Danio rerio: one gene and its partner. The protein of the gene in region 1 interacts with the protein of each later gene in a pairwise test. Links are inferred from orthologs where the notes say so. Each region holds a gene or a part of one and is shown in the gene's direction. Other genes may lie near its edges.

Region 1 (15,679 bases):
ATAAGTTGTAATTGGAAATAGTATTTTTGTAATAGTATTTATTTATCATAGGGCAGCTGAAACACTATTCATAACATCTTTTCTTTCTTTCTTTCTTTCTTTCTTTCTTTTTTTTTCTTTTTTTCTTTCTTTCTTTCTTTCTTTCTTTCTTTATTTCTTTCTTTCAAAATAGTGAGAAATCTAAAAGCAAAAATAATACTTTTTACTTCACATCAAAGCAATTGAAACAATGTTTGGAATAATTACTTGGAAAAAAATGTAAATTATACAGATATATTATTTTAGTTTTTTATTTGAGGTCCACTCACTAGAGGCTTAGTAACTACTAGCTAGTTTTTAGCAAAGTTTGATCTTACTTCAGTTGCACCACATGTTCTTAAGGCAAACTGCAGTAGGTCGTAAGCTCTCCGTAAAGTCATGCGTATTCGCATTGAACAACATAATATCCAATAAAAAGAATTTAAATCATTAAACTGTTTTAAAATTATGCAACTAACCATCAATATATAACTGTCCTATGAAAAATGAATGACAAACTACAGTTTTATAGTACATTACATTACAGTCAGTCACTATAACAGACGGTGCACAAACCTGCATTGCGAGTCCTGAATGCACGTGAAATACAAATGAAGTTATCAAAACATTAAACTTGATTTTTTTAAAATATCCTACACATGAAAGAAAAGAGCATGAAGAAGAACCAAGTCATGAAGAAATTCTCGTTTCATTGATGGATCACTACTTGAAAGAAAATTAAACTATTCTTTCACAAACCAAAAAAATGCGAGATTTGGGAAGAAAATATGGCTGAAAGGAGATCATTCTTCACTATTATTGTGAGCTCCTCAATGTAAACTAATCTCGGTCATCTCTTTTCAACCGTTATACATGGGAGAGGCTGCCTTAAATATTTAGTTGGAACGTAGCATTACGGTTGAACTAAGTTCGGTGGTGCAAAAAAAAAAAAATAATTTAGTAGTGTGTAAGTTGTAACTTCAGTTTCCCTTTAAGTCACAACTGGCCTGTTTCATAAATCATTCAAATATGCTAATTTGAAGTCCAAGACAAATTTATTGTCATTATTAAATGTTAAACTCAACATCTGAGAAACCCCTAAGACAAAATTTGGTATAAAAATTGAACACTTGACTGACCCCTGCCACAGGTACTCATCACTGCCCAGGTCTTGCCACACGCAGGAGGCCAGGCAGAGGTCAGTGGCATTCAGGTAGGAGAGGATGGTGATGCTGAGTTCTGGCGGCAGCATCTCAAGGTCGATGAAGCCCTGCTCCGCTTTGCCCTTGCGAACGCGAAGCAAGTGACTGATGTCGGCGCCGGGCACCTGGCACTGTGGTGTGCGGCGCTGTGGCAGCCCTTCAACCAGTGGAGACCCCATCCTCCGGACATGCTCTCTGTCCCGCTGGAGGAAACACTGTTCACTGTACTGCTGCTGCAGCTGCTGGTTCCTCGCCACCCTCCACAAACTCTGACCCATCTGCAGATCTGAAAAAAAATCAATAAAAAAATAGACTCAATTTCTGTTAATTTTAGCCATACATTGGTGAAAACAGTACAATATACAGTTGAAGTCAGAATTATTAGCCCCCTGCATATTTTTCCCCAATTTCTATTAAACAAAGAAGATTTTGTTCAACACATTTCTAAATGCAATAGTCAATAAATAATTTTATAAATAATTTTATCTCTGCCATGATGACAGTACGTACTATTTTGTATAAAGTGCAATTCAAGGCTTAACTAGATTAATTAAGAAAATTAGTACTGTACCATTGTATAACAATGGTTTGTTCAGTAGACAATAATAAAAATAAATAAATAAATACTGCTAAAGGGGCCTAATAATATTAACCCTAAAAAAAAATGTTTATCACTGCTTTTATTCTAGCCCAAATAAAACAAATAAGAATGTCTCCAGAAGATAAATATTATGGAAATACTGTGAAAAATTCCTTAAACATCATTTTGGAAAAATTGAAAAATAATAAAAAAATATATATATATTTTTTCACAGAAGGGCTAATAATGTTGACTTTAACTGTAAAACTATCTTGTCTAGGCTTACAATTAAAAATAAATAATACAATTTACTTAGCATCAGATAAATTAAAATATTACACAACCAACAGGTCACTCCACTTTTTGCTCCATTGACTTCCATTCAAATGTGTGAATGCGACAGACCGGAAGCGCAAGCTCGAATTGAAGTTTCGAATGTCACTGTGTTTCAAAGGATGTGAAAGCATGAGACCAATAGAAAATAAAAAAATATGGAACAATCGCTAATTTTATTAGTGTCAGTGCTTCATCTTTATCCTGTTTCTTTTTCGCAGCCCCATTTGACAGAATTACGCATGCTCAAACTTTAGTGAGACTGCAGCTTTAGATAAAAACTAATATGAATAGTGTCTGACTCATATATAAAAAGCAGTAATTTGCATTTTTGTTAAAGCACCACAGCTCAAAATTGTGGAGCACCCCAGCACCTCTTCTTGAATCCTTCTTCTTCAACTTCTTCTTTTTGACTCTCGCTGCCCCAGAATTACTTTTAGGAATGTTATATGAAATTTGGCACAAAGATATTCAGTATTAGTAACATGAATCTTGTAGTCTCTAGGTTAATCTAGTCGGGATGCACGGTTTACCAGTACTATGGTATTATCGTGATAATATGGCCCTAAAATACTGGCCACTGTAGTTTGTAAATGGTAGTATCGTCATTAATGGTCTATTTACAATAGATAATGTTGCATGTGGAAAAGTCACTAATATGCTAACACATTTGTGCAACAATAAACCATTTTATTTGAATAGTCTGTGGAGCCCTTTAAGGTTGCAAAACTAGGTAGAATTCAGACCTTTTATGGTGGCCTATTGCATGTTTTTTTGGTGTTTCAGTTCAAACGTACATCTGAATTAGTTCATTGCTGTTCCTGTCAATTGATTCAGTAGCTACAACCAGTTCTCTTAAAAAGAACAACTCATAAAGTTACATTTTGAATACCTGATGAGACAAAAAAATAAAAAATAAAATAGATGGAAAAGCACAAAAGAGCAACAGGAAACAATAAAACAATTTGTGACCACTTCATAAAGCCTAATTTTGTTGAAAAAATATACTTTTTGTAACGAACAGTTCGGTATAACTTGAATTTTATTTTTTATTTTTTGGTAAGTATTTCTTACAATTGTCATTTATATATATATATATATATATATATATATATATATATATATATATATATATATATATATATATGCACATATATATATATATATATATATATGCACATATATACACATACACACACACACACATACATACATACATATTCATATTCATATTAATTTTTTTTTCAAACAACATTTAAAGCTCAAAATAATTCCAAACTTTTGATTTTATTTTTGTAGCATAAATAAAACGTTGAATTCCTGCATCCTTCCGATCTATAAAACTCTATTAAAACAACTCTGTCATTAACCAAACTGAAATATGTAGCACGTGCATCACATTTCGATCACCAAGACCTATAGTCTCAGCTCAGTTTCTGGTTTTGATTTCATATACATTAAGCAGAAGAAGCTGATGTAATCTCAGAGACATCTGACACACGCAGCCCATCCTGCTTTTATTTTCCATTTGGCTAAGAGCTTTTGTATATCATATAATCTCTTATTGTATTTATTATTAAAGAAGGGATTGTATATAAAGCCTTTTATCTCTCTGCCTTATGTTCCTATAAACTAAAGCAGAATAATCCAGAGGTCTCAAGCTCTCAGCACTTCAGTTTTGATTTAGATCATTTCTTTTAGGGTCCCCGAATCCTTACCTCTTCCAACAACCCTAGGGAAACTGTTTTTAGTGTTGGTTTGCAGTAGTCAGCTGGGAAATAAAACCCCCGATGGCAGCTTTATCTCCACCACAGTAGCACTAATCCTCTCTCGGAGATATGCATTAAGCCTTTTTATGTGACTCCCTCCAAGGGCCTCCACATCTCGGTCTACTGTATTAGACGTCTTGTTATTCTAGTCTTTAATGGCCTTTTGGATGCTCTCTCTGAGTTTCTAACATGACAGCTTTTCTCATATGAATCTGACATAGAGTTGCACAATGTCACGGCACCTGCTTCTTGGCATTCTGTAGGAGGAGCTTGGGAATTTTTAGACCTGCTTTGCTTTAAATACGGACTGGAAATCTGAGGTCAATGAACTCTGACAAGCAATTTCCCTCAGCTTTGCCTAAGGGCAGAAGCATTTCATGAATCATTAAAAACTACTTACGTTTATTAGGCCTATGATGGTATCATATTTTCCGGTTTTGATAAGTGCTGAATCTTTCAGCATGGTGTATGGCGTTATCAGGATACTAACATTGTTTAAGAAATACTCTCATCAAGAACAAATAAAAAAGTTTTTTTTTTTTTTTTAACAGATGTAATAACAAAAAAAAAACAACTACTTTTTGTTTATTCTTTAATGTATATAAATGTTTAACATAAACTCAAAAACTTCAAATGTTGCAAAAGTTTACATGTACTCTTTACAATAAACTCTCGTAAGTGATTTTAGGAGATCTTCAACAGTGGGAAACAGCTAGATTAGATTAGATTTAACTTTATTGTCATTATACATGTACAAGTACAAGGCATGAAATGCAGTTTAAGTCTAACCAGGAGTGCAATAGCAGCTGCTATATATAGGTATAAGCTATAAAGTGCAATTATAAAAAAATAATAATAATAAAATAAAAATAAAAAAACTATGGTGATATTTACAGATGGATGCACTATAAACATTATATACAGGTTATATTAACTATTAACAGAGATTTACAATAGATGAAAATATGTACAGGTTGATAATAATCAGAGGTATGCGGGCAGATATGAACATAATTACAAATGTATATGTCCAGAGGGTATGTACAACTTAAGAAGAATTAGTGCAAAGTTGTGCGATGAGGACGAGCAAAGTTTGCTAACCAATCATGTATGTATGTAAAAGTATGAAACAAACTGAATTATTAGTTATTATTTTAATTAAAACTTGTTTGATTTTAATGAGTTAATCAAGAAAACATTAACAGCACCTATGATTAATGTTTTCACTCTCAGTTTAGCTTTTATAATTAATGTTAATTGGGATGTACTGTAAAGCGTAAACAAATAAAGAATCAGAACATTTCAATCAATATTTTGGGCATGTCATACGCCAGATTAGCATCTTGAAAAAAAAAAAGTAGTCCATGAAGACTTTAAGCATTTGATGCTGTTATAAACACCATTTCTAATACCATAATCTGAATGTTATGAAAAGGACTTCTGAAAGGTGAAAAAATAAACAAGTATTGACTTTATTTTGAAGTGCCACAATAACAGTATCATTAATGTTCATTATTATGATATACTAATTTTATTAAATATGCACATGCCTTACTAGTACTATAGTTATACTATGAACATCTATGTTATTCATATTATTATTATTAAATATCAGGAATTTCTTCATCTAATTAGTGTTTCTATTAAAAAAGAACGTAAACAGAACTGGCAACTCTATTTATGTTATTATCATGCCACTCTTGTTAATACAACAACCAGAATATTCTTAAAAGGACTTCTAAAAGGTGAAATAATAAACAAGTATTGGCTTTATTTTGAAGTGCCATGAACACAATACCATCATTGTTCATTATTATGATATACTAATATTATTAAATATGCATATGCCTTAAGATTATCATAGTTACATTACAAACATCTATATTATTATTATTATTATTATTAGATACTAATGATTCCATCATCTAATTAGTATTTCTATTAAAAGAGAAAGTAACTCTAAATATGTCACTATCATGTAACTCTTGTCAAACTGTTTACAGTAAATTGGGACAAGCTGGAAAGAACGGCATTACAAGACTGTCACTGCTGACAACTGTTTACAGTATCTGACAATTATATTAGCCTGATAACGCAAAACGTATTATAACTCTGACCCAGTTTGCATTGCAGTAGCCTTTATGATTTCTGTCCTAACAAAGAAGAACTCGTCTTACATATTACATAACTACAAAACAAGTTAGCACGAGCTCCGCTTTGTTTTACACTAAATAAATGTGTATTTTTTAGAGATGTACTTTATCAAACTTTTAAGTTCGACGACTGACACACAAATCGAGGTACATTTTTAAGAAATAAGTCCTCCATCATGTTTGGCTGAAGCACAAATCCCGCCTCGCCCTAACACTATTGGCTAGAATGCCGATTTGACACATTAACTCGCCCTCCGATTGGCTGTCGCGCAAAGTGACGCATCGAAATCTTCTGTTTTTATTTTCGCAGCGTCAATCGCTCAAAGCAGCGCCACCCACCTCTGTGTGTATGAAATACTTCTACCGCCGCCGCGACGAAATGACTCGCTGGTCTGCCACAGTCTCGCGGGTGAAATTATCTCAGTCCTTTAACCGGAGCCCAGTACAGCCATCGTGACAGCTCCAACGCTGCAGGTCGAGGGTGAGACAGTCCTGTGACTCTATCATTCATCAGTACAGTCGCTCCTCCTGCCTCTCTCTCCGCCTCCTCGAACACTCTGGCCAGACTGACGTTTCTTGTTATTGGTGGAAGTGACGCAAATCGCGTAAAGTAAATTGAGCACGAGTACACTCAGTTGCACTTTCGTTAAAAACTTTTTTTCTTTTTGTCGTCTTGGTCAAGTTCGTGTGGTTATTTGATGTGAAACATAGTCCTTAGTCTTTGTAATAAATATTCATTCATTCATATGTTAATTTTTTTGGCTCAGTTCCTTTTTTAATCAGGGGTCGCCACTTAAAAATCGCCACCTTATCCAGCATTTGTTTTACACAGCGGATGCCCTTCCAGCTGCAACCCATCACTGGGAAACACCATACACTGTCATTCACACACATACACTAAGGACAATTTAGCTTATCCAGTTCACCTGACTTGTAGGTGTAATAAATGTACAAAGTAATATTAAAATAATTTAATAATGTAAGTCATTTAACATGTATTTATTTGGTTGTTTAAATGTTATTTTTTTGGTAAATTTTATTATTATTATTATTATTATTAATAATAATAATATTAAATGTATTTTGTTTATTTATTTATTTCTATATATATATATATATATATATATATATATATATATATATATATATATATATATATATATATATTAAATAATAAACAAATGTGTGATTGATAAATAAATAAATAAATAAATAAATAAATAAATAAATAAATAAATAAATAAATAAATAAATAAATAAATAAATAGAATACTTCGCTTAATTAAGTTCGTCAACCAGTTCATGAGACTAGCACTAACAAATTATGTATCTTTTTGTATTTTGGACAGAACCTAACAACCTAACAACCAGACATGAATGTGCAGAAGCGAAACTGTGGGTGATTTTTGTATCCACTGCATAGAAACCAATAACAACAATCTTGAATCCTTTAGCGGCAAAAACAAAAGGAAGGGATTAGCAATAACTCCGTTACTAATATTTAGCCTTCGGTAAGAGTTTTGGTTTTCCAAACGTTAATATAACAACCGTTTTTAATGATTTACCTTTGTAGACAAAGGGTAACACACACGTTGCTTATGAATGATGAATTGACATCGCTGTATGCATCTAAACTTGTTAATAACAATGTAACTCTTGATGAAATGACAGAGATGGCCACTGGTGACCTGAAGGGATGTCTCAGAAAACTGGAAGCGTCTCTTCGGTCTCTGAAGTATCCCAGAGATGTGGATTATCAAAGGTATGGAGTATCAATGTTAAAAGAATAGTGTAGTTCAAAAATAACTCGTTATTTACTCAGGTTTTTGTTGTTGAATCTAGATTAACTGTCTGTCTTCGAAACACTAAATCATTTATTTTGGGAATGTACTTGCGGTAAAGTGTTTTGTATTTCCACAAAAACTACTCTTTGGTAACTCTCTGAACTTAAATCCTTCTCATTGTAAATTTATTATTAATTTCTTGCTTTTTCAGGCTAAATGTTACATCCATAAATGAAGTAATTTTTTGAAGAAACACCCTTATTATTTTCAGAAATTCTTTATAGAACTCTAATAATTAATTTGCATGTAAAACCCTTTCTTGGTGTAAATCATGTAAACTTTATTTATGTAACTTTTTTTTATCTATTTGTTCTTATGGTATCTTTGTAAGTGTTCTTTCTTGCATACTAAGAAAAAAAAACTTCTGTCTTCAGTTTATTTGTTCAGAAAAACTCAAATGAAAATGTTATGCAGAGTGTCAGTTGTAGTAACCATTTAATTAAATTTGTACAGAAAATAAATGTTGATAGTGGCTGAGACTGTAAGTAATTCAGTTATATTATAATACACAGACCAAAAGACATGAGTAAAAATGAGATTTTGGAAACACATCAACTAAATTGATATGATTTTAAATACACACTAAAGCATATTAAATGTAAGTGTCTACTTTAATGTTTATTATATAATGCTCCATTGTCATTCAACATAACTTATATTTATTTTCTTAATATTTTTTTATTAATAGTATATTGATTCATTAATATTGATAGTTGGTATTAATTAAGGCTGCACAATATTTAAAAAATCTGAGATTACAATATTTTGTTTTTCTGTGATATTTATTGCGATTATGCGATATGATTATAATTATTTCACCAGATGACTTGAATAGCTCAATTTGGAAAGAACTCATACATTTATATTGATTGGAAGACTTTTGAAGGCCAGATAATCTGCATACATTTTTGGTGGGTCTAACTGTATTCAAAAATACGTTGAATATTCAAATGAAAGCAAATAAAACAGTAAATTCTTCATTGTATAAAAGTTAAATGCAATACATTTTTATTGTTTTAATTTTTTGTACACAAATTAATTAAAATCTTTAAAAACAAATCAAAAAAGCACTCGTTTAAGGTTAAACTTTACAATCACTCAACAGGATGGTTCCTGGTAAGCTATTATTCCAATCAAATTTCCTGAGGGATGAATAAACTGAAGCTGAACTTGACACTGTGGATTGATGTGACTATTGTGAATGATCACATTGCGATATCGATGCTGAAATGATATATTGTGCAGCCCTAGTGTTTATTCGATATTAGTTTATTAATTATATTTTAATTGTATAATATAAAATAAAATAAAAACTTATTCTGACCTGTACATATTAAAATACAGTTGAAGTCAGAATTATCAGCCCCCCTGAATTTTTAGACCGCTTGTTTATTTTTTCCCCAATTTATGTTTAACGGAGAGCAGATTTTTTTCAACACATTTCTAAACATAATAGTTTTAATAACTCATCTCTAATAACTGATTTATTTTATCTTTGCCATGATGACAGTAAATAATATTTTACTGGATATTTTTCAAGACACTTCTATACAGCTTAAAGTGACATTTAAAGGCTTAACTTGGTTATTTAGGTTAACTAGGCAGGTTAGGGTAATTAGGCAAGTTATTTTATAGCAATGGTTTGTTCTGTAAATTATCTAGAAACAATATAGCCTAAAGGGGCTAATAATTTTGTCCCTAAAATGGTGTTTAAAAAATTTAAAACTGCTTTTATTCTAGTCGACATAAAACAAATAAGACTTTCTCCAGAAGAAAAAATATTATCAGACATACTGTGAAAATTTCCTTGCTCTGTTAAACATCATTTGGAAAATAATTAAAAAAGAAGAAAAAAATTTGAAGGGGGCTAATTGTTCTGACTTTAACTGTATGTAAACAAATATGTTATCATATAAAATGAACTGTCTTTTAAATGGTTGATTTTTTAATTTATTTTTTATTTTTTGCTGATATATAAATATCATTTTATAAGGCATTTTGTGGCTGTTCTGTGATCCTTAAATATTGGGTTTTAATATGTCATCAAATGATTCTTGTTCTAAGTGTACTTTGCACTATTTTATGGTGTATAAACTAGAGTTTAATTAGACAATTTAGTGGATATCATATTTAAATACTGGTATAAGTGCACAATATTTATGAGTTCTCATTCATTCATTCATTCATTCATTTTCTTGTCGGCTTAGTCCCTTTATTAATCTGGGGTCGCCACAGTGGAATGAACCGCCAACTTATCCAGCAAGTTTTCATGCAGCGGATGCCCTTCCAGCCGCAGCCCATCTCTGGGAAACATCCACACACACATTCACAAACACACTCATACACTACGGACAATTTAGCCTACCCAATTCACCTGTACCGCATGTCTTTGGACTGTGGGGGAAACCGAAGCACCCGGAGATAACCCACGCGAAGGCAGGAAGAACATGCAAACTCCACACAGAAACGCCATCTGAGCCGAGGTTTGAACCAGCGACCCAGAGACCTTCTTGCTGTGAGGCGACAGCACTACCTACTGCACCACTGCCTCGCTCATTTATGAGTTCTCTGAATAAAAAAGTAATTAAACAGGACATGTTGTAATGTATGGGGGAAAATGAAGTTGGATGAGTTGTTGCTGTTGTTATTATTATTGCTGTTGCTGTTGTGTATTATTATAAAAACATTTTCTCATTTATCTAAACATTCACAAATGCTTCTACTGAACCATTCTAAGAATTATTACTGTATTAAATAATAGTAAAATGTAGTTTCCAAATAATTTAACATGGAACAATAAAGCATACATTCTGAGCAAAAGATTTTCCTAAATCATTTTCATAATCATGACCCTGATCACACCCATGCCAAAAGACTGGAAGTGGAAATTTGCAAAGTACACTATGGCTGAGTGAGCAATTTATTAATGTTTATACTTGTTTTACATGCATGTTAGCACATAAAAATGTATATTTGCTTTGAATAATATCCATTAACTATACATACATGGAACAATTAGTGTCCTTTTTCTGTATGTTGACTATCTAGCAGATGCTTTTATCCACATTAAATTAAAGGTATACGTTTCATCAGTCAATGTTTTTAATCAGTTCTATTTTTTCTGTAACCTCAAATGTCAATATAAAAGAACATAATCTTGTTAAATGTGGCCACAGAGACAAATCCTAGATTTGTAGATACAAATCTCCACTTCCCAGGGCTTTACAAATCCATCATCTGAATGATTATTTCATATGCGGTCAGCAGAGATGATATAATATATGCAAGATGTAATCCATTAGACATTGACGTTCCCTAATTCCACCATTCATTTTTTATTTTTTTGGCCTTGACTTTGAAACATCTTGACTCAAATAAACATCCCAAAATAAGACTCTGTCAGTGTTTCATGTCCCGTATTTTGTTTTGAAGTTTGGAAAGTTGAAGACTTGTCCGGAGCCTCCCCAGCGCTCCGCTATTTTGTAAACAGGCTTTACAAAAACCAGCTCCGTTCCTCCACCAAGACCCCAAGCTGCACATCAGATGCTCAGCTCAGAGGTTTTGATGTGAGATGCATCAAACACAGAATGCTCCTCAGAAAGACAGATCTATTTTGGCTTGTGTATGCTGGAAAGATGACTTAATTTGCCTCCAGCACGACACTCAAAATGGCTTGCAGACAGCTTTTATTTTTCAAGTGCTGCCACTCTTTTAAACATTATATTTGATTTAAAACCTCGATTTGATGTTGATTTTATGATGACGTTTTATGAATTGTTTGTCATTACAAGTCCTTTATAATTTAATATTGTGGTTTCCTCTTCCAGATTGGCTGTTGGAGATCCATCAGCGTGTCTTCCTATTGTAAGCTTTGCCTTCACGTCCTTTTCCCCCTCACTCACAGAGTACCTGGTCGATTTTGGCGTGGAACTAACCGGAATGAATGATTTGCGATTTATTGAGAATGTGTACAAGGTGATTATCATTCATCATATTTTTATATAGCTTATTAAATATTATATATTTTGATGTAGCTTAGTATTTATTTATTGTTTTATTTATTTATTTATCTCTGCACGTAGTTTGTAAAGCTTTTTAAAGGGATAGTTTTTGGAAATTTACTACATTTCTAATTGACTAAAAATCACAATTTACTTAAGTGGTTCCAAAACTTTCTATTGTTGAACACTAAAGAAGATATTTTGAAGAATGCGGAAAACATGTAACTTTTTACTTCCATAGTAGGAAAAATACTGTGGGAATCAATGGTTGCAAGGTTCTAGCTGTCTTCAATATATACAGTTGAAGTCAGAATTATCAGTACCCCTGAATTATTAGCGCCCCTATTTATTTTTCTCCCAATTTCTGTTTAACGGTGAGAAGATATTTTCAACACATTTCTAAACATAGTTTTAAGGACTAATTTCTAATAAGTGATTTATTTTATCTTTGCCATGCTGACAGTAAATAATATTTTACTAGATGTTTTTCAAGACACTTCTATACAGCTTCTGTACAGCAAGTGACATTTAAAGGCTTAACTAGGTAATTAGGTTAACTAGGCAGGTTAGGGTAATTAGGCAAGTTATTTTATAATGATGGTTTGTTCTGTAGTCTATCAGAAAAAAAACGTAGCTTATAAAGGGGGTAATAATTTTAATCTTAAAATGTTTTTTTTAATTTTTATTTTTATTAAAAACTGCTTTTATTTTAGCTGAAATAAAACAAATAAGACTTTCTCCAGAAGAAAAAATATTATCAGACATACTTTGAAAATTTCCTTGCTCTGTTTAACATCATTTAATGAATATTTAAAAGAGAAAAAAAAAATTCAAAGGGGGCCTAATAATTATGACTTCCACTGTATGTTTATGTTTAACATGCAATGAAGCAGTACTTCAAGAGATTCATTCAAAATGCTGATTCATTTATTATATGCCAAACCATACCATTAAAATATTTATTGATTTCATTAATGATAAAATTTAAGTCCACTAAAGCATTTTTAGTTTAGCTGCCTATTCGGGTAACTTTTAAACTATTATATTTTAACTATTTCTATAAAAAGAATCAGGGTTCTTAATTTATCATGAATCATGTAACCCTACTGTATACATTTCTATTTTTTTTTCCCTGGAGAATGTGAAAGAAGGCATTTTGAGGAATGTTGGTGCAGTCTGAGAAATAAGTTCATAACAGAAAAAAACAAAAACAAAAAAACTGGCAGCTCATTACCAGGTTTTCACATTGGATTTAATGTGACCAAAATCAACCCAGACAATTTATCATTTTATTCTAAATTTATTATTTTATTCTAAAAGTGTCAAAAACATTTATTTTGTTGAACAGTAGATTTACATTTTAAACATCACATTTCAGAGCAGAGATCAAGGTCTCATAAAACAATTTAAAAGTGTGAATCAACCAAAAAACAAACAAACAAACAAAAAAAAAAAAAACACCCTGGAAATATTACAGCAAAGTATAGTCATACAATTAACTTTTTTAAATTTAATCCAACCTTTTGGTGACCATTGGCATCTACTGTATAGTAAAAAAAAGTTTTTATAAACAACATATAACCTTTATGAATTAATAATGACCCAAGTGTAATTTGTGAATCATTCCTTTAAAATACATTCATTCCATTCATGTTTTAGCATTTAGGCTAGTTTCTGGATAGTATATTTTTATTTAAAATCAACAACAGATCTTTATTAACATGCTTGACATCACAGCCCACTTTAATTTTGACTTTTTTAAACTGTTTGCAGTTTCTTTTAAGAGCTAGTGGTTTTAATGAGTTGGTTATTTTAAATGGATCAAAGTGCTTACAGTTGCCTTTTCCCAGTTATGAGGACACAGTTCATTTTTAGGGTCAAACTCTAAAGGCTTTTTAACTCCGAACAAGCCATTAATACTGTTTTTCACTCCCTCTTTGAAGAGGTTGATTAATATAAGCCTTATTTATTGGCATTGTCTCGAATCTGGCAGGGTTTAATGACTCGGTTTTCACTTATTCCAAAATTGTTTCAGTTTCTTTCTTTTGTTGAACATAAAGAAGATATTTCAAAGTATGTTAGAAACATGCAGCCATTGACTTCTATTGCATTTTTTTTCTACTATGGATGTCAATATTTACCCGTTTCCAACATAATTAAAAAAAATTACTTTTATTGTAAAATAGATGGTGAGTAAATGTTATTTTGGGGTGAACTACCCCTTTACCCCTAAAATCAGAACCGCAGGTCCTCTCTGTGAAGGTCTGTGATTTGGAGCATCTGTAGCTCTGAAGCAAAGCATTCAGATGTTCAACTGGCAGCTCTTCACCAGCAAATCCTGAGTAATTACTATTCTCCACTCGCATCGCTCTCCTGCAGTGAGTGAATAAAAGAAGAAGGCTTGTTTTCATGCTGGTCCAAGTCGTCTGATCTCAGATTAACTCAAAACTGATTCTGTACGTTCAGCCATGGGACTGACTGAAGCGCTGCTCTGTCTTTCAGCACTTCCTCCTGTTCGCTGACCTTTTGTGCAGCTCTTAAAGTTCTGGCCTTCATCCCAGTATCATCTGAGGCTCACGTAAAATATTCAGGGGGGAATTAGTGGTCCCTTTAGATTACCTTCAGGGCCTTGGTGGCATTTGCTAAAAATTAGAGACGCTGTAACAGGAAAGTAGTGTTTAGCAATTCAATCATTTTTTTTCCAGTCGTCGTTTTTTCCTTCGTGCTACAGTACATCTCACTGTTTACATTTGCGTATTCCTGTGATTAGTCTTAGTGGCTCCTCTGGAATTCCAAAAAGTCTACAAATCTTTTTTTTTTTTTCTTCTTCTTCTTTTTTTTTTTTTTTTTTTTTGTTTGGGATTTTAATCCACTTAGAGGATCATTTCCTTCCAGTTCCTTTAATGCGTTAAACCTCTCAAGTTGTAATATTTATTTTAAATCACTGTGTTTTGTTGTATCTGTGTTTTGATGAGAAAATCCCTTCAAATGTAGGTCTTGCGGGATGTTTTCAGCTATAAACCACTGTTGACCAAACAGCAGTTCCTTCAGTTTGGGTTTGCAGAGAGGAAAGTGAGCATTCTCTGTGATGTCATTGGCCTTGTTCTCAGCAAACACAAAGAACTCACTAAAAATAGCAAGGTATCGCTGATTTACCCTCATACAGTTTTTTTTTCTCGTATAGAGATATGGTTGTATTTCAGTTATTCACAGGTACTAGAAACATTTATTTATGTTTTTTTTTTTATTTTTTTTTTTTTTAAGTTTATAGTATATACACACACATACATATATTCTCACAGCGTTAATAAATATTATACAGTATGTAGACTTTAGCTGATCTCAAAATGATAAATTATTTTCGCACTTTGTATAGTAATGTTTTTATAAATCATTTACAATTAATTAGTTTATTTATAATATGTTCAATATATTTATGCAAACTATTATAGTAATTCAATATAACACATTAATTGGTTCAATAATATTGTGATATGCAAACAATTGTTAGCATATTAAATATATTTATATAAACTAGTAATTTAATTTACACATACAGTTAAGGTCAGAATTATTAGCCCCCCTGTTTTTTCCCCAATTTCTGTTTGACAAAGAGAAGATTTTTTTTCAACACATTTCTAAACATAATAGTTTTAATAACTCCTTTCTAATAACTAATATCTAATAACTGTATAATTGTTGTATAATGGTTTGTTTTGTAGCAAATCTAAAAAGATATATAGCCTAAAGGGGCTAATAATTTTGACCTTAATTTTTTT
Region 2 (15,998 bases), on another chromosome or scaffold:
CATATATAGGTTGGTGTTATATATTCAAAACCCTTGTAATGCCTTACAAAATCCTTGTAATGAACTGCCAACACATCATTTTCTGTTATTTTACACACTTCGTCACCATATAATTATAAGGTTCTATCTGACATTTTAATAAAAATTGAGTTATTGACATATTCTTATTAAATGACTACTTATTTACATTATTTTTAAAAGTTTTTTATTTTATTTTAAAAAGACTTTTTATTTAAACAAAAACAAATGTTACCCACATACTGTTTGCTATGGAATGCAAAAACATCAAGCTAAATATCTTTAAATCATTCAGAATACAGATAGAACCTTATAATTCCAAGGTGACTACATATTTATTTATATTATTTCTTATATGTTATATTGTTTCAAACTACTTAAAAGCCAATAAAGGTGACTGTTAAACTGTAGAGTTGGACTTTCAATATCAAAGTTGACAGAGCAAAGATTGAGGTACAATTCACAACTGTACATAACCATAAACACTTATGGAACACAGTATAAAAACTGTTAATTAACAGATATTTTTGACAGTGCATGTGCCATATAACATACAGGATAATATAATTACATGTGATTTAATTTTGAATTTAGGTGTCACTGTTGTCACATTCACCAGCGATCTAGTCCATGCAGATCGCTGGAGAACTACAAATCTGCAGCAAAAGAACTACAAGATCCAATCACGCACCACTCACACACCTGGCCTAGGTCCTGTCTGATTGCAAACACTCACTGCTGAAGCTGCTCATGAACTGATTACATAGACTATAAAGTCAGCACACAAATACACAGAAGTTGCTGAGTCTTGTTAAAATGTGTGTGACATTACAACATGATTTCCTCTTCTTTCCTTGTCTTGCTGTGTTTTTGACCATCCGCCTGTTATATGACGATGACTCTTGACTTGCCCGTATGCATCTGTTTGCTCCTGTGTTGACTGTTACTTGCCTGATCATTCTGTTTAATAAATCTGCGTTTTGGATCTGCACTCCCTTGTTTAGCATCACCTCACATTACAACTGTTGATTGTCTAGACGCTTCAAATACTAGAGTGCATTTGATTGGTCAGAATATCTGATTAGAAGCTGAAGAGCATAGTGATGTCATGAAAATCGTTGATTTCCATCAGAGGAAGTGGTAAACTGCAAGTAAAAACTGCGTTTTTAATACTACAATTTAATATTATATTTAATATTATATTTCTAATATTATATTCTTAACATAATATTTTATTAATATTAGACTAAACTTATTGATACTATAAAAAAAAAGAATTTTGTTTTCATGGGAAATGTAAGGAGATTTAATTGTGTTAGTCTTTATTCATTCATTTTCCTTCAGCTTAGTCCCATTATTCATCAAGGGTCGACACAGTGGAATGAACTGCTAACTTATCCAGTATGTGCTTTACACAGCAGATGCCCTTCCCACTGGGAAACATCCATACACTAACATTCCCTACTGCCAATTTAGATTTACTGCATGCCTTTGGACTGTGGGGGAAACCGTAGAAGAAACCCACGCTAATATGTGGAGAACTGGCAAACTCCACACAGAAATGCCAAATGATTTAACAGGGACTTGAACCAGTGACCTTCTTGCTGTGAGGTGACAGTACTAACTACTGAGTGTTGGTGATGGGCTTTATTTGGCTTTAATGTAATTGTGTATGATTTTGAAGGGATAGTTCACCAAAACAAAAATTAATCTACTCATCCTTTATTTGTTTCAAACCTTCATGATTTTCTTCTGTTGAACAAAAAAGAAGACATTTTGAAGAAAGCTGAAAAACTGTAACCACTTACTTCCATAGTATTTGTTTGACCTACTATGGAAGTCAATGGTTGCACATTTTCAGCTTTACTTCAAAATATCTACTTTTGTGTCCAACTAAAGAAAAAAACTCATAAAGGTTTATAAGTGGATTTTCATTTTTGGGTGAACTATCTTTAATGATTCAATATGTGTTTTATAGTACATGTAAACTATTAAAACAGGCATCTTAATACTGTGGTAATTTCTCACAGTGTTAGTCCAAAAACACTGGAGTGGATTTAGAGTAAGGTCAGAGGTCTAAAATGGCAATTAAATTATATTACTATGCCATCTCAAGGATTAAAGATTGGAATGCTCTGGCAGTGCCAGGAGTAATTTAGGCCAGGGCATATGTGCCAAAATATGCTGCCTACCACACTGGGAGGGGAGATTGTGTGAGAAAGCTCATTTGTTAAGTGTTGTTTGACTTATTCTGTGTGATCTGTCTGTGAAACAGGCTGTGAAAACTTCCCTTTTCCCCATTTGGGCTTTACAGTCCTGTTGCACTACTTAAATACACAGATCTGGAAACAGACATGAGTGATGCAAGTAAACATTCCTGGTCTGGTGAACTGAATATGAGCTCTCTGATTGGACAATCAAATCTAAGGACTGGAAATGGACTGTTATGCAGTGCATCTTAGCAAACAGAATAATTTAAAATATGTTTATTGGGGTGGTCCACTACGATAGCATATATTAAACTTTAGTTGATGTGTAATGTAGCTGTGTGAACATAAACACATCTCTGAATGTAATATGCACAAAGTTCAACGCAAAAAGATACATTGGCTTTCACAGCGTTAGCTTAGCAAAGCCTACAGCGAACAAAGTTTGGGGACTACAAAAAAATACATCCGGGTTAGTGAGATCAAATACACTTCCGGTTACACACATTCACCACGCGGATACAACGTAGGCAGCAACAGGGTGTGGCCAGTGGTGCTGTAATGTTAGCAGAGAAAGCTAAAATGGTGTCCAAAACACTGCTATTTCCACATAGCTTCTTCTGTTTTCATATTTTGTCACTTCCAAAGGACACGACACAAAAAGAGAAGTGCTTACAATTTAATTTCAGCTATGTTCCAGCCAATTATAAAAAATATATAGCTAGCACTTGACAAAGGACATCTCCTAGTTCAGTGCTGGTTTTGGCTAAAAAATACTTCAAGCTGTGGATTGTGAGCCACAACCTGTAAGTATTTATCTTTGGTAAAATTGATAATTTACATGCATAGTGTCTAGCGTTAATGGTGTGTTGTTGCGAGGATGTAAACATCACTGTAGACATTTCCTCGAGCGGAAATAATGTCTTCTGAATATAATATAATATAATATAATATAATATAATATAATATAATATAATATAATATAATATAATATAATATAATATAATATAATATAATATAATATAAAATAATATAATATAATCAATTTGGGTATTTTGGGTAATATTATTTATGATTTACGATCAGCAAGGCAGCATTTGTTTTATCAAACAATACAGTAAAACACTAATTACTTAACTAATATTTTTTTATGAATTGACTATATTTGAAAATATATATATTAACCCTATAAAGAAAAGTTGCCATTTTTGCAGTCTCGAGAAACAATTCATCTTATTATCAATGTTGAAAAAAAGCTTGTGATGATTATTAATAGTAATATTTGCATTGTTCGTATTAAACTTAATGTTATGTATTTTCATTGTAATTGCATGTTATTGCAGTAATAAGTACACATTCTAAAGTGTGAAAAAGGCAGTACTTTTAGTTGCCTATATTACAAACATAAGCAACACACTTTATTTATTTATTTGTAGACACCATTTCTTTCATTGTATTGAATACAAGTAATGATTCAAACAACATTTGTGAGAATGAAATGTATAAAGATTTAAAAACATATTTCTTTAATATTTTGGGTCTTTTAATATATCACTAAATGATTCTTGCTCTAAATATAATATTGATTGGGTATTATTTGACAAATAAAATGAAGAATCAAATGATCAATTTAATAATTGATGCAAAACAATATATATATTGTTATATATTATACAAATTTTCTTTCTATCAGACTTCTTCTAAGTCTGTTGCTCACATATTTTAGGAATGTCCCTTTGTTAAATCTTTATTGTCTGATGAGAATACTTATAATTGTCCAAAAGGTTTGAGGTGATTTTTTTTTAAGCTATAAACATATTATTTTGGGGTTTTACATGAAAGAAAATCAATTCCTTAATTCAGGTTTTTGTATTAACCCACACTGTAAAACCCAAAAAGTTAAGGTAACTCAAACTGTTTGAGGAAACCAATTGCAACAAACCATTTAAGTTCAAAAACTAATCTTAATGACTACTGTGAACTTAATCTATTTGAGTAAATGAAGCAATTTGAGCACAGTAAAACCTGATAAATGAAGAGAACTCAAACCAACTGAGTACTGTAAAACTCATTAAGTTAAGGCAATTTAAGCCATATTTATTTCTGCATTCATTTGTGTTATTTCATGTGCCCCCCTCACTCCTTTTTTATTTATTTATTTTAATTTTATTATTTTATTATCTTTTTCTTTCTCATTGCCATAACATTGTAATACTGAAACAAATGACAAAATGAGTCATTCTCTTTTTGTGCAAAAAGTAATATTTGCATTGTTTGTGTTACTTAATCGTCTGTATTTTCACTGTAATTGCCTGTTATTGTAATAATAAGTACACATTCTAAAGTGTGGAAAAAGGCAGCATTTCAGTTTTAATAATTGCATATAATATACAATTGAAGTCAGAATTATTAGCCCCCCTGAATTATTAGCACCCCTGTTTATTTTTCCCCAATTTCTGTTTAACTGAGATATTTTTTTCAAAACATTTCTAATCATAATAGTTTTAATAACTTATTTCTAATAACTGATTTATTTTATCTTTGCCATGATGACAGTAAATAATGTTTTACTAGATATTTTTATGATACTTCTATACAGCTTAAAGTGACATTTAAAGGCTTAACTGGTTAATTAAGTTAACTGGGCAGGTTAGAGCAATCATAGGCAAGTTATTGTATGAAGATGGCTTGTTCTGTAAACAAATGGAAAAAAAGAAAAGGTTTAAAGGGGCTAATAATTTGCACTTTAAAATGTTTTTTTTATTATTAAAACTGCTTTTATTCTAGCCAAAATAAAACAAATAAGACTTTCTCCAGAAGAAAAAATATGATCAGATATACTGTGAAAATGTCCTTGCTCTCTTAAACATCATTTAGAAAATATTTTTTTTTAAAATTCAAAGGGGGTTTAATAATTCTGAATTTAACTGTAAACAACACACTTTATTTATTTATTTATTTACTTATTTATTTATTTATTTATTTTTATTTTATTAGATTATTTTAGATCCAATTTTTACAGTGCAAAAATGATTTAGATTTCACGTTTCCCTCATCCTTTATTAAGACAGATTAACATTATACATTTGACCTCGTGGAATTTCATGTTTCATTAACACTGATTACCGAACACGTCATTTCAAAATCCCCTGATGAACTTCGTTTCAAAATCTCACGAATCCTACAAACACCAATAACTCTCTCATCCATCCAGAACTATTACAAAACCAAGAAAATGTTGTCTGTGCTTAAATTGGCAGGATTTGTCTTCAAATCTGCCAAAAACATCATGTGCAACGAACGAATGCCATAAGACAAATTGCAATAATCACAGATAAATGGGCGGAAAAAAAAAGAAAAAAACGCAACTGATGAAATAATTTAACTAACAGGTAATTGCAAAACCGTATTTGGCAACACACAAATACAAACACACACGCTGTGCGTAAATGCAATTGTACGAAATACGATGTAAACATGAAAATCTCTTTACCTTACTCAAAGATCTTGCATCTCTGGTCAAAAGAAGCAGATAAGTTAAAACACTTGCGTAGATCCACATTTTTTTCATCAACTAATCGAAGTCCTGCACAGCTTCCACCTGATGGTATAATTTGGCGTCTCTGAAGGCACCTGTAAGCTCAGTCTGGTATTATGAGTCTAGATCCTCCAGAACACAGGTTTAGGGCTCCATGATTACAGGTCACGCAGAGTTATGAGTGTATGTGTGTGTGTGTGGGTTGTGACGCGCAGCAGCTTCAGCTTCAACTCCGCTTAGATGTGAGATGATGAACGCCCACCATCACCATCACCATCATCCTCTCTCACACTATGTGCAAGGCGGAGGAACACTGGCACCACTTCTGTACCACTGAGACATTTATGTGTTGTGCTGATGTGTAGCTTTTCTTTCCAGGGACATTTATAAGTGACCGACGACCACTGTAATTATATTTCTATAATAAAAAATAGTTATTATGAGAAGTACATTTGGAGGTAATGCTGTAGACACAAATTAAAGGCAGATGATTCTATTTGATGTAGTCTTCTATGGTATTGTCAGTGATAACAATGTAGCCTGTCGATGTTGTTAATGCTTGAATTTGTGGATATGCGCTTCATGTTTTCAGGAGACCTTAAAGCAAAGAACTTTAGGTTAGGTTTTTAGCTGTTATCTAGCGCCCTCTCTCGGTTAATGGTTATAAAATCGTCCACAGAATGAGTAAAATCTTAAATGTAAATTCCTTTTCTTTTCTTTTCCTTTTTTCTTTTGTTTTTAAAGGCCATCATTATAATAAGAAATAAAACATTGAAATATTTATTTTTTATTTATATAGAAATAAATAAAGTTACTGAACATTTTATTATGGTAAACAAACAAATTAAAATTAAATAAGCTTACGAAAATTATTATTTTATTAAATTATTATAATTAAAAGTAAATTATTAGCATTAAAAGTATACAAAAGATTGAATTAATTTGATTAAAATAAATTATCCAAAATTAGATAAAAATAAATATGACATATATAATATATTCTTTTTTATATATGATAATTATATATTAATTTGATAATTTTCTCAAATAATATCATAACCATTTTAATTTATTAAAGTTTTTCATTGAATCGTTTAAAACAAATAAATATCCATTAGACACAAAGAAGTAAGTATATTTATTACATACATATGCTGAAAATAACAACAATAATAATGTAACTTAAAAGAAACTAAATATTTTCCAAATAATACTTCAGTACCATTTGTGATATATACTTTTTTCATTTATCATTGTTTGTGTCTATAACACAAATAATAATAACAATAATAATAATAATGCAGCTTAAGCTTAAAAATTTTCAAATAATATTTTTTGCCGCATTTTTGATATTAAATGGGTTCGACCCTGTGCTGAGTCAGTATTTCTGTCACGTTCTCCCCGTGTTCGCGTGGGTTTCCTCCGGACTTCCCCACAGTCCAAAGACATGCGCTGAATTGGGTAAGATAAATTGTCTTTAGTGTGCGTGTGAATGAGAGTGTCTGAGTGTTTCCCAGTGATGGGTTGCAGCTGGAAGGGCATCCGGTGCGTAAAACATATGCTGGATAAGTTGGGGGTTTATTTCGCTGTGGCGACCGCTATTTAATAAAGGGACTAAGCCGAAAAGAAATTAAATGAATGAACTATTTTTTATTTATATATTTTACGAATATTATTTTTGTCCAATTTATGATATTATTTATTTTACATTTTTGTTTTTGTAAAACAAATGTCTGAAAATTCCTAAAAATCGCAAACATTTTATTTTAATACTCTTTTTATTAAGTCGTTTAAAACAAATAAATAGCCTACAAATTACACCCTAAAGATTAGGTATATTTACATACATTCTGCAAATAATAATAATAATGTACCTTAAAAGAAGCTTAATATTTTCCCAAAAATATTTTAAACCCATTTATGATATTTTTTTTCATTTTGCATTTTTTGTTTAAAACACTGCAAAATCCCTAAAATCGTAAACATTTAATTTAATACTATTTTTTTATTAAATTATTTAAAACAAATAAATATAAATTAGACCCAAAGGAGTAAGTATAGTTATTACATACATATGTTGAAAATATTAATAAGGTAACTTGAAAGAAATTTAAAAATTTCCAAATAATATTTTCGTTCATTTATGATATTAATTTTGTTTTTCCTTTTGTATTTTTTGTCTAAAACAATAAAATTCCTGAAAATCGTAAACATTTTCATTTAATATTTTTATTTATTGTTTTAAACAAACAATTACAAATTAGTCCAAACATATTTATTTCATACATGCTGAAAATAATAATAATGTAACTTAAAAGAAGCTTAATACTATATTTCAAATCATATTTTACTCTCATTTAGGATAGATTTTTTTTTTCAGAAAAATTTTATGTGTGTTTAAAACACTGGAAGTTCCTGAAAATCATAAACATTTTAGTTCAATGATACTTTCTATTAAATTGTTTGAAACAAATATATCCAAATTAGACCCAAAATGCTATTTATAACATACACATTTGGAAATAATAATAATGCAACTTTGTGAAACGTAATATTTTCTAAATAATATTTTAATCCCATTTATGATCTAATTTTTTTTGCATTTTGCATTTTTTGTGTGTCTAAAAGAACATTTACGTTACCATATAATAACCCCGCCTCCTCTAGCACCATTGGTCAAATGAAACCCGGAAGTAAAGTGTTTACAAAGATATTTAACCACATGTTGAGAATATGGTCAGATTCAAGTCAAGGTAATGAAGAAAAATAACTTATTTTTCCGGGTCCCGGTTTTAAATGCATAAAATAGCTAAATTTAAACGTAACCTTTAGATGCTTAACAGTTTAAACATGTTACTGTTTTACCAGGTATTTGCTGTGCGAGCTGTGTGTCTCTGAACCCAGCAGTCTTCATCTTTTCGAGGATAAAGTCGTGTATCAGGCACTCAGAGGGGCTGTGAACCGAGCTCACGGCGACTACGGAGCGGCGATTTTTAATATAACGTTAGGCGTATTAGGTAAACAATGAGATGTTGTTAAGATTTTTAACATAACCTATTAGAAATAGTAATCACTTTTTGTGATGTTGATACTTAATTTGTTTAGCTCAGTTTATTTAATATCTTCCTTAATGTTGTGCAGTGAAATATCTGAATGCCCACACTGGGGTGGTGCTGATCCGCTGCAGGAAAGCGCATTATCGGCTTGTGTGGTCCTCTCTTCCCTTCATTACTTTCCTGGAGAACAGAGGACAGAAAGTGCGGTGCTTCTTCAACTGCATTCATGTCGGAGGCAAGTATTAATCGGAAGCTAGAATTAAAATTTAATAAAGGTTATTGCTAGTCACACTTGTTTTAAAATTGTGATACTTTGTTTTTGACAAATCTTACCTCCTTTTCTTTTCGTACCTGCAGTTCTACATTAAACAGATATAAAATGAAAATCTTAAAAGGTGTATATTTTAATTTGTAAGGAAAAAAGTCAGTTTGTATGGCACTGTTTTTCGTTTATCCAGATTGTAGATTATTTATGCAATGTTAATCCAAAGTTTGCATTTGATAAATTGAAAAAGTTTTATACCTGACAGTTTAAATATTTTTGGCCAGAATTTTGTTATATTTATTCACAATTGTGAGTCAATAGAAGGGAAGAATATTATGAGATACAAACTCAAGAGTATGCAGTGAAAACCCTTTAAATGTGAAATAAAAGTTGCAGTGACTTTTTTTTTTTTGGTGTCAGACTTTGGGTCTGACTGTTCTTGTTTCAAGCTGACAACACACTATTCTAATTTCATTTCTTGCAATGATTAAGATACAAACTCAGTTCTGAATCAAAGCAAGACAGAATGTTTACACATAAGTTTCAATTAAAATAGAAACCTTATTCATTTAGACAACTTATTTGCACTAGTAGATCATTATTCTGAGAACCTGATAATGCGGACTGTTGTACAGTGTTTATTTTATTTTATTAGTTTTTTTTTAAATAAATAATCTAATAAATAAAATAGCAGTAGTAGTATTTTTGCTTTCTTGTTTTTCTTATAATCTAAACATTAATAGTTATGTTACAACTTTAATGAAACTGAATTAAGGTCAGAATTATTATTAATTTTTCTTTTTTTAAATATTTCCCAACTGATGTTTAGCAGAGCAATTTTCACAGTATGTCTGATAATATTTTTTTCTTCTGGAGAAAGTCTTATTTGTTTTATTTCAGTTAGAACAAAAGCAGTTTTCATTTTTTGAAGAAACATTTTGAAGTCAAAATTATTAGCCCCTTTAAGCTATATTTTGTTTAGATAGTCTAGATAGAACAAACCATCGTTATACAATAGTTAGCCTAATTACCCTAACCTGCCTAGTTAACCTAATTAACCTAGTTAAGCATTTAAATGTCACTGTTGTATAGAAGTGCCTTGAAAAATATTATGTACTGTAATCATGGCAAAGATAAAATAAATCAGTAATTAGAAATTAATTATTAAGCTTAGAAATGTGTTGAAAAATTCTTCTCTCAATTAAACAAAAATTGGGGGAACAATAAACAGGGGGGCTAGTAATTCTGACTTCCACTGTATAGAACTATGTGTTGAGATAATTAAAAAAAACATTTTGTCATGATAATGAGAAAACATCTTCTATCAAAATCAAAAGTAACTGAAGTTAAGATCCTGTGAAAGTGTTCATTAATTTAATCTCTTAACACAAGCGATGCTATTTTAAACATAAAATTATAAACATAAAAAGGGCAACTTTTTCATTTGTTGTACAGTATTCTTACAGTGAGTACAGTGCATCCTCAGAAATATGAGAATTAAAAGGAATACATTTTGAACTTTGAGATTGCGTATAAACTCAAGATTACTGGATATCATTGCTCCTTTTTTTAGTCGCAATTGTAACATGTTTTCTTGCCAGTTCCTCATTTGATGCTTACTCTTTTGATTACTCATTTAACCGGGATTAACCTAAAAAGAAAGTCACAGTTTACTCACCCTCTACCCGAAAAAGGATATGTGAAACCTTGATGACTTCATGTTGATTAAATGTCATGCACAGAAGATGTTCAGAAGAAATGTTTACCCCTGTGCACGTGCAGGCTGCAGTATATTATTGCATAGTGAACATTTTTCTGTCAGAGCTTTACATGGTTGACAACAATAAGCACACAATTTTACATCAGTTCCTCTCTGATCTTTTCCACAGGAACCATTAGAACGAGTCAGAAGTTTCTTATTAAGTACAACAGACAACAGCTCCAACGAATGCTCCTAGATTGCAAGACAGATGGTAAGTTCTGTTGTTACATTTATATAATGTATGAACGCTAAAGAGTCCATAAATTATTAGCAGTAGTTTTACTTGCTTGTTTTCTCACGATCTAAGCATTAACATTTATATTTGAGCAGCACTAAATGTTTTCTGTACGTAGCTTGTTGTTTCCTTCTAGATTATTTACTAGGGCTGCACATTATATCATTTTACTATCCATATTGCAATGTGATCATTTGCAGTCACATCGCAGGATCTGCAGTGTTGAGTTAATATTATAATTAAGCATTTGCATGTGTTTTTGTGGACTGTGAATGTATAATGGTTTTAAAAGCATTCAGGAATAAAAAAAATTACCATTTGTAACTTTAATAATGATTCATTTTATTGAATTATTTTTATTGTTCCATGGGGTATATGCATACCAACTTTTATTTTCAGCCAGCCAGCCCCAGGGCTTCCGTTAATTGCCATCCCATAGAAAATTACTGCGTTTAATATCTGATTTCTTTAAAAACAGCAATCTTCACTGCCTGGCTAAGATACAATATAAAGTGGATCTCAGACTGAACAAGAAGCACTGCATTAAATTATATTTTTCCATCCATATTTTTAAAATATGGAAATTAATTTTACCCCAGCATTTACAATGGAATTTCTGCGCTGGCCTGTGGCTAACAACGGTGCCTCCCTTTAAACAGTCTTTTGCCTCTGTTTACGATTTAACCACCAAATGCTTAAGTCTTTTTAACTAAATGTATTTTGATTACATTAAAATTTTAATGCTGTAAAAGGAACCTTATGAAATTGAAAATAGTCACACAAGGCTCTCACCGGAAGTTGATCATTGGCTGAAAAACACTAGCTGTGCATAAAGCCCATTACTGTGCCCGAACACTATTAGACTATTAGTTATATATATATATATATATATATATATATATATATATATATATATATATATATATATATATATATATATATATATATATAAAACACTGTTTATTTCAGTTACAGTATATCTATTCTTTTGCAGATGCACTGCCACTATTGAATCATCCAAATCAATCTAAAATGATTAATACTTTACAAATAGAGATTTTATTGTCACCTAGTGAAATTGTATTCACATCGCAATATAGATTGCAGAATAACAAAATATTGCTGTGTTAGATGTTTTTCATTATTGTGCAGCTCCATTATATACATTAAAAGTAAATCTACAAGAACATTATGAAGTTAGATGGTTGCTAATGTCATCAAATTGCTAGATCTTTAATGGTCAGCGCCTATCCTACATGACAAATAAGACTTACGAGTATGTCTCGATGTCAGTTAATATTAATAATGCTTGTATCTCGAAAAAATAGAATTAATTAAAAGTGCCGTTCTTTACTGATTCAGTGTTATTTATTACCCTATATGGGAACACTTTACTTGAATGGGTGGTCATAAGACTGTCATTAAGCCTTTATAATCATGAAAAGGCTCATGTCAAGAATGTAAATGAGACTTTAAACATGCTTATGACAACTGTCACTAAGTTTAATTTTCTCAGTTATGTCATTTTAAATGCAAAGATGACATTGTTTGTTATGACAACTTGACAAACAAATGCATCACAACCTGTTTCAACTTAGGTTAAGATCACAAGGAACATAAGTTGAGATCCTGAAAAATTGTATATTATGTTACTATCTTAACACAACAAATAAGTCTAAACATAAAAATTATACACATAATAGCATAACATAACATAACATAACATACTACAACATAACATAAAACAATTAACATCATTTTAATATTGCAAGAAATATACAGTGAATAGCCTCTAATTAAGGATTTTTATAATTTTAAGCACTAAATCAGTTTACTGTATGTATTTATTATTTAGTTTTTTAAGAGTGGTTGCTGATGACATTCCAAAAATACATTAAAATGCAGTATTTATTTATTTCATTTATTTATTTATATATATTTATTTATTTTAAGTGCAGCGTTCTTTTTATAATTCACAATTTATTTAAAACGTTAAAATTATTTGTTTGAGAACCACTCAAAGATTCACTCATCATACCATCACTCTTTTTCTCCACAACACAGCTGAAAAACAAGATGTCAGGAAAGCCATCCTGAGCTGTTCTCTGAATCTGATCAAAGGAGAGGAAACTGATGGAAGTGATGATGATGGTGATGAAGAAGACACCTAAAATTCCCCATATAAAAAAGCACATACGGGATGTGTACTTCATTAAGGCAAGATGCAACCATGCAGTGGTTTGGATGACATGGTGATGTTGTTTATACATAATGCAGTTGAATAGTGAATTGTTATGTGGTTCCCGAACTGTAATAATAATTGATTTGATGCTTTTTTATTTTATACATCAATTATGAATGTGGTTTATGTTTACAGGACTGTTTAGTTGTATGAATGCCATGTGCAGTGATTTTTTTTTCACCTCAGAAAGCTGAAACAACTTCTGGTGCTTCTTGCTGTTCACTATAGATTTGTAAGCATTTGTTTCAAATAAAGTAAATATGAATAACTCAATCAATACTCATTGCTTTGACATCAAATCAGCTATTCTAGGTCATTTTCTCAGTGTTTACCTGTTTTAAACATTTATGACTTGCTTTTAAACATTTATGATTTTCTTTCCTTTGTGTTTAACATAGCAAATAAATAGTACATTTTCATTTTTTTTTTTTTTTTTTGGTAAACTTTCTCTTTAAAGTCTATTAAACAGACTATATATATATATATATATATATATATATATATATATATATATATATATATATATATATATATATATATCAGGTTTTCAATCTTTTATGAATTTCCAATAATTTTACATGAGAAATGTATTAGGTAACAACCAAAGCATGCGAGAACCATGTCGTGTAGTCAAATGCGCCAATCAGAATCGGCGAACCTGCGCGTGCGCACTTTCTGACCTCTCCGAGGCTTATAACCCTCATCCGGGTGTTTACGGTTCCCGATTGGCGACCCGTCGCCATATGTCTGTATTTCCTTAGCTGGAGTAAGATTTGGGTTAAAACCCATTTATTTAACCGTTTTCCTCTTTTGGAAAACGGCTAACGCCTTGTGGGGCGTAACACTTCCCACGCCGAGGAGAAACTGCGCTTTTCAAGGGGCGAGGCCCCGCTTTTTGGGCACTTGTTTTTTGTGTTAGCACACAGGCTTTTTTAACTGAGACATTTGGATTGTGTCTCTGTTTTTCTCTTGGTTTGTTTGTGGTCAAGATGTCGCCGTAATGGGGTCTCCGTGTTTGTCAGAAATGAATAAGGGCCTTCGTTGCCTGACCCGCAGCCGCAACAACTCGTTTACCCCGTTTAATGCTAGAGAGCTCGGAGGCTCTCACCCCGGAGTTCGGCCTCAACATGGAGAAAAATCCAAACGCCAACAACAACAGCAGCAGCACGAAGATCCCGCCCCGTTCCAGCTCTACAGGCCTCAACCCGACAGACTCTAAAGCCAAAACAGGTACAGAATCAGGGCCTTGTACAGATAAACACACGACTGTCATGATCAAAACGGGTTTTATTGCTTGTTTGCGGTTTTGCAACGACATGTTTTTGTTTGTCTGTCGAGATGACGTAGCCGCGGCTAGCGATCGTCCCGCAGCTTTGTTTAATAAATGTGCATAAATTACATAGAAGAAAGGAAGCTAACGTTAATGTAGTGTCCTTAATAAGCACTAATGTTATATTAATCGATCTATGCTTGAAAACATATACCTAAAATGAGAGAATAAATAATTGTAAAGCATGTTAAGAAAGACGGTTCTTATGTAAGTTGTCTATTTACTTTTAATAGATCTGTTTAAAGTTAAAGCGAGGTAAATTATTTAAACAAATAAATAAATAATAACGACAGTGTGAGGGCTAACTTAATTTTGTATCTTATTTACATGTATCTATGTAAAGTTTGTCAGTGAACTGAGGTATTTTTTTACACAACTCGTGTTGAGTATATTGTCGTTATTAATAGAAAACACAACAATGTGCTTATTAGATAGACGTTATACTTCATTCAGTAACTAATACTAGTTTTACTGGGTGTTGGGACGGTACCAAAATAGTATTTCTTAAAAAAAGGAGCTGATGTCTGTTGTTTTTTAAATAAATTTAACTTTGGTTGATCTGTCGAAAGTAATTACTAAATGTATTATATATTGTCACAAATGTAACTATATTCAGTATAAGGTAGAAATTAGCTCGCAATTTTCTTCAAATATTATAAACGGCCTTTAAGATGTTTTTGTTTATTTTTTTGTAAATAATTTGGGAAAGTGTATTTAAACAAATAAGTATAAAATAAATTCATAATTAATAATAAAAATAACAAAAATAGTAAAATTCCAGGTGCTTGTAATTTACTGACATAAATTAATAATTTGCATAATATGGCTGAAAGCTGTAAAAGGTTTAATCAATGTAAATTGTTCACTCAGTAAATAATTAATACAAAGAGCATCCAGAAGGTGCATAGATCCTGTTAGAGTTAACATCAACGAGACTCCATTTATTTGATTTTAAGTTAATGTTATTATTAAACATAATTTTATGCCCTTCTTAACCCTCAATGAGAATATATTTTGAGATTCTGTTTATAAAATACTATTCAACAGTACTTATTATGCCAGTTAAATAAATTACATATTTTACCAACTTGATCAGACATGTTTGTATAATTTATATTCATGTCCACTTGCAATAAACTGATATTCAGATAACACTACATGGGTGGTGTCTGTGTGTCACGCTCTCAAATAGATAAATGGATTTCTCCTCAACTAACCTAATGTTTTCTTAAAAACTGACCGATTCCCGTGGGGAAATTAATATTCAGGGTTATTTTGTCTGCTGCTCCTCTTAGCAGCAGATCAGATGAATGGGGATCATGGCCAGGGTCTATTCTTGTCAGTA

Evidence for each region.
Region 2: the proteins of cep44 (region 1) and pop5 interact in binary tests that used the Homo sapiens proteins (3 or more experiments, as listed by UniProt). The two-hybrid records come from large-scale screens. The link is inferred for Danio rerio from reciprocal best matches to the Homo sapiens genes CEP44 and POP5.

The regions. Positions count from the first base shown.
Region 1 is NC_133176.1:41,472,127-41,487,805, forward strand, and holds the start of cep44 (centrosomal protein of 44 kDa), read left to right. Parts: upstream 1-7,463; 5' UTR 7,464-7,566; intron 7,567-7,726; coding exon of another isoform or gene 7,727-7,728; coding exon 7,729-7,817; intron 7,818-11,726; coding exon 11,727-11,874; intron 11,875-14,894; coding exon 14,895-15,041; intron 15,042-15,679. Other genes in the region: fbxo8 (F-box only protein 8), read right to left, coding at 1,158-1,498. UniProt on the Homo sapiens protein: Centriole-enriched microtubule-binding protein involved in centriole biogenesis. In collaboration with CEP295 and POC1B, is required for the centriole-to-centrosome conversion by ensuring the formation of bona fide centriole wall.
Region 2 is NC_133183.1:49,715,941-49,731,938, reverse strand, and holds pop5 (ribonuclease P/MRP protein subunit POP5), read left to right. Parts: upstream 1-8,463; 5' UTR 8,464-8,496; coding exon 8,497-8,516; intron 8,517-8,631; coding exon 8,632-8,780; intron 8,781-8,904; coding exon 8,905-9,054; intron 9,055-10,973; coding exon 10,974-11,057; intron 11,058-13,145; coding exon 13,146-13,252; 3' UTR 13,253-13,596; downstream 13,597-15,998. Other genes in the region: olfml2a (olfactomedin-like protein 2A precursor), read right to left, coding at 5,719-5,796; E3 ubiquitin-protein ligase RNF10, read left to right, coding at 14,406-14,553. UniProt on the Homo sapiens protein: Component of ribonuclease P, a protein complex that generates mature tRNA molecules by cleaving their 5'-ends. Also a component of the MRP ribonuclease complex, which cleaves pre-rRNA sequences.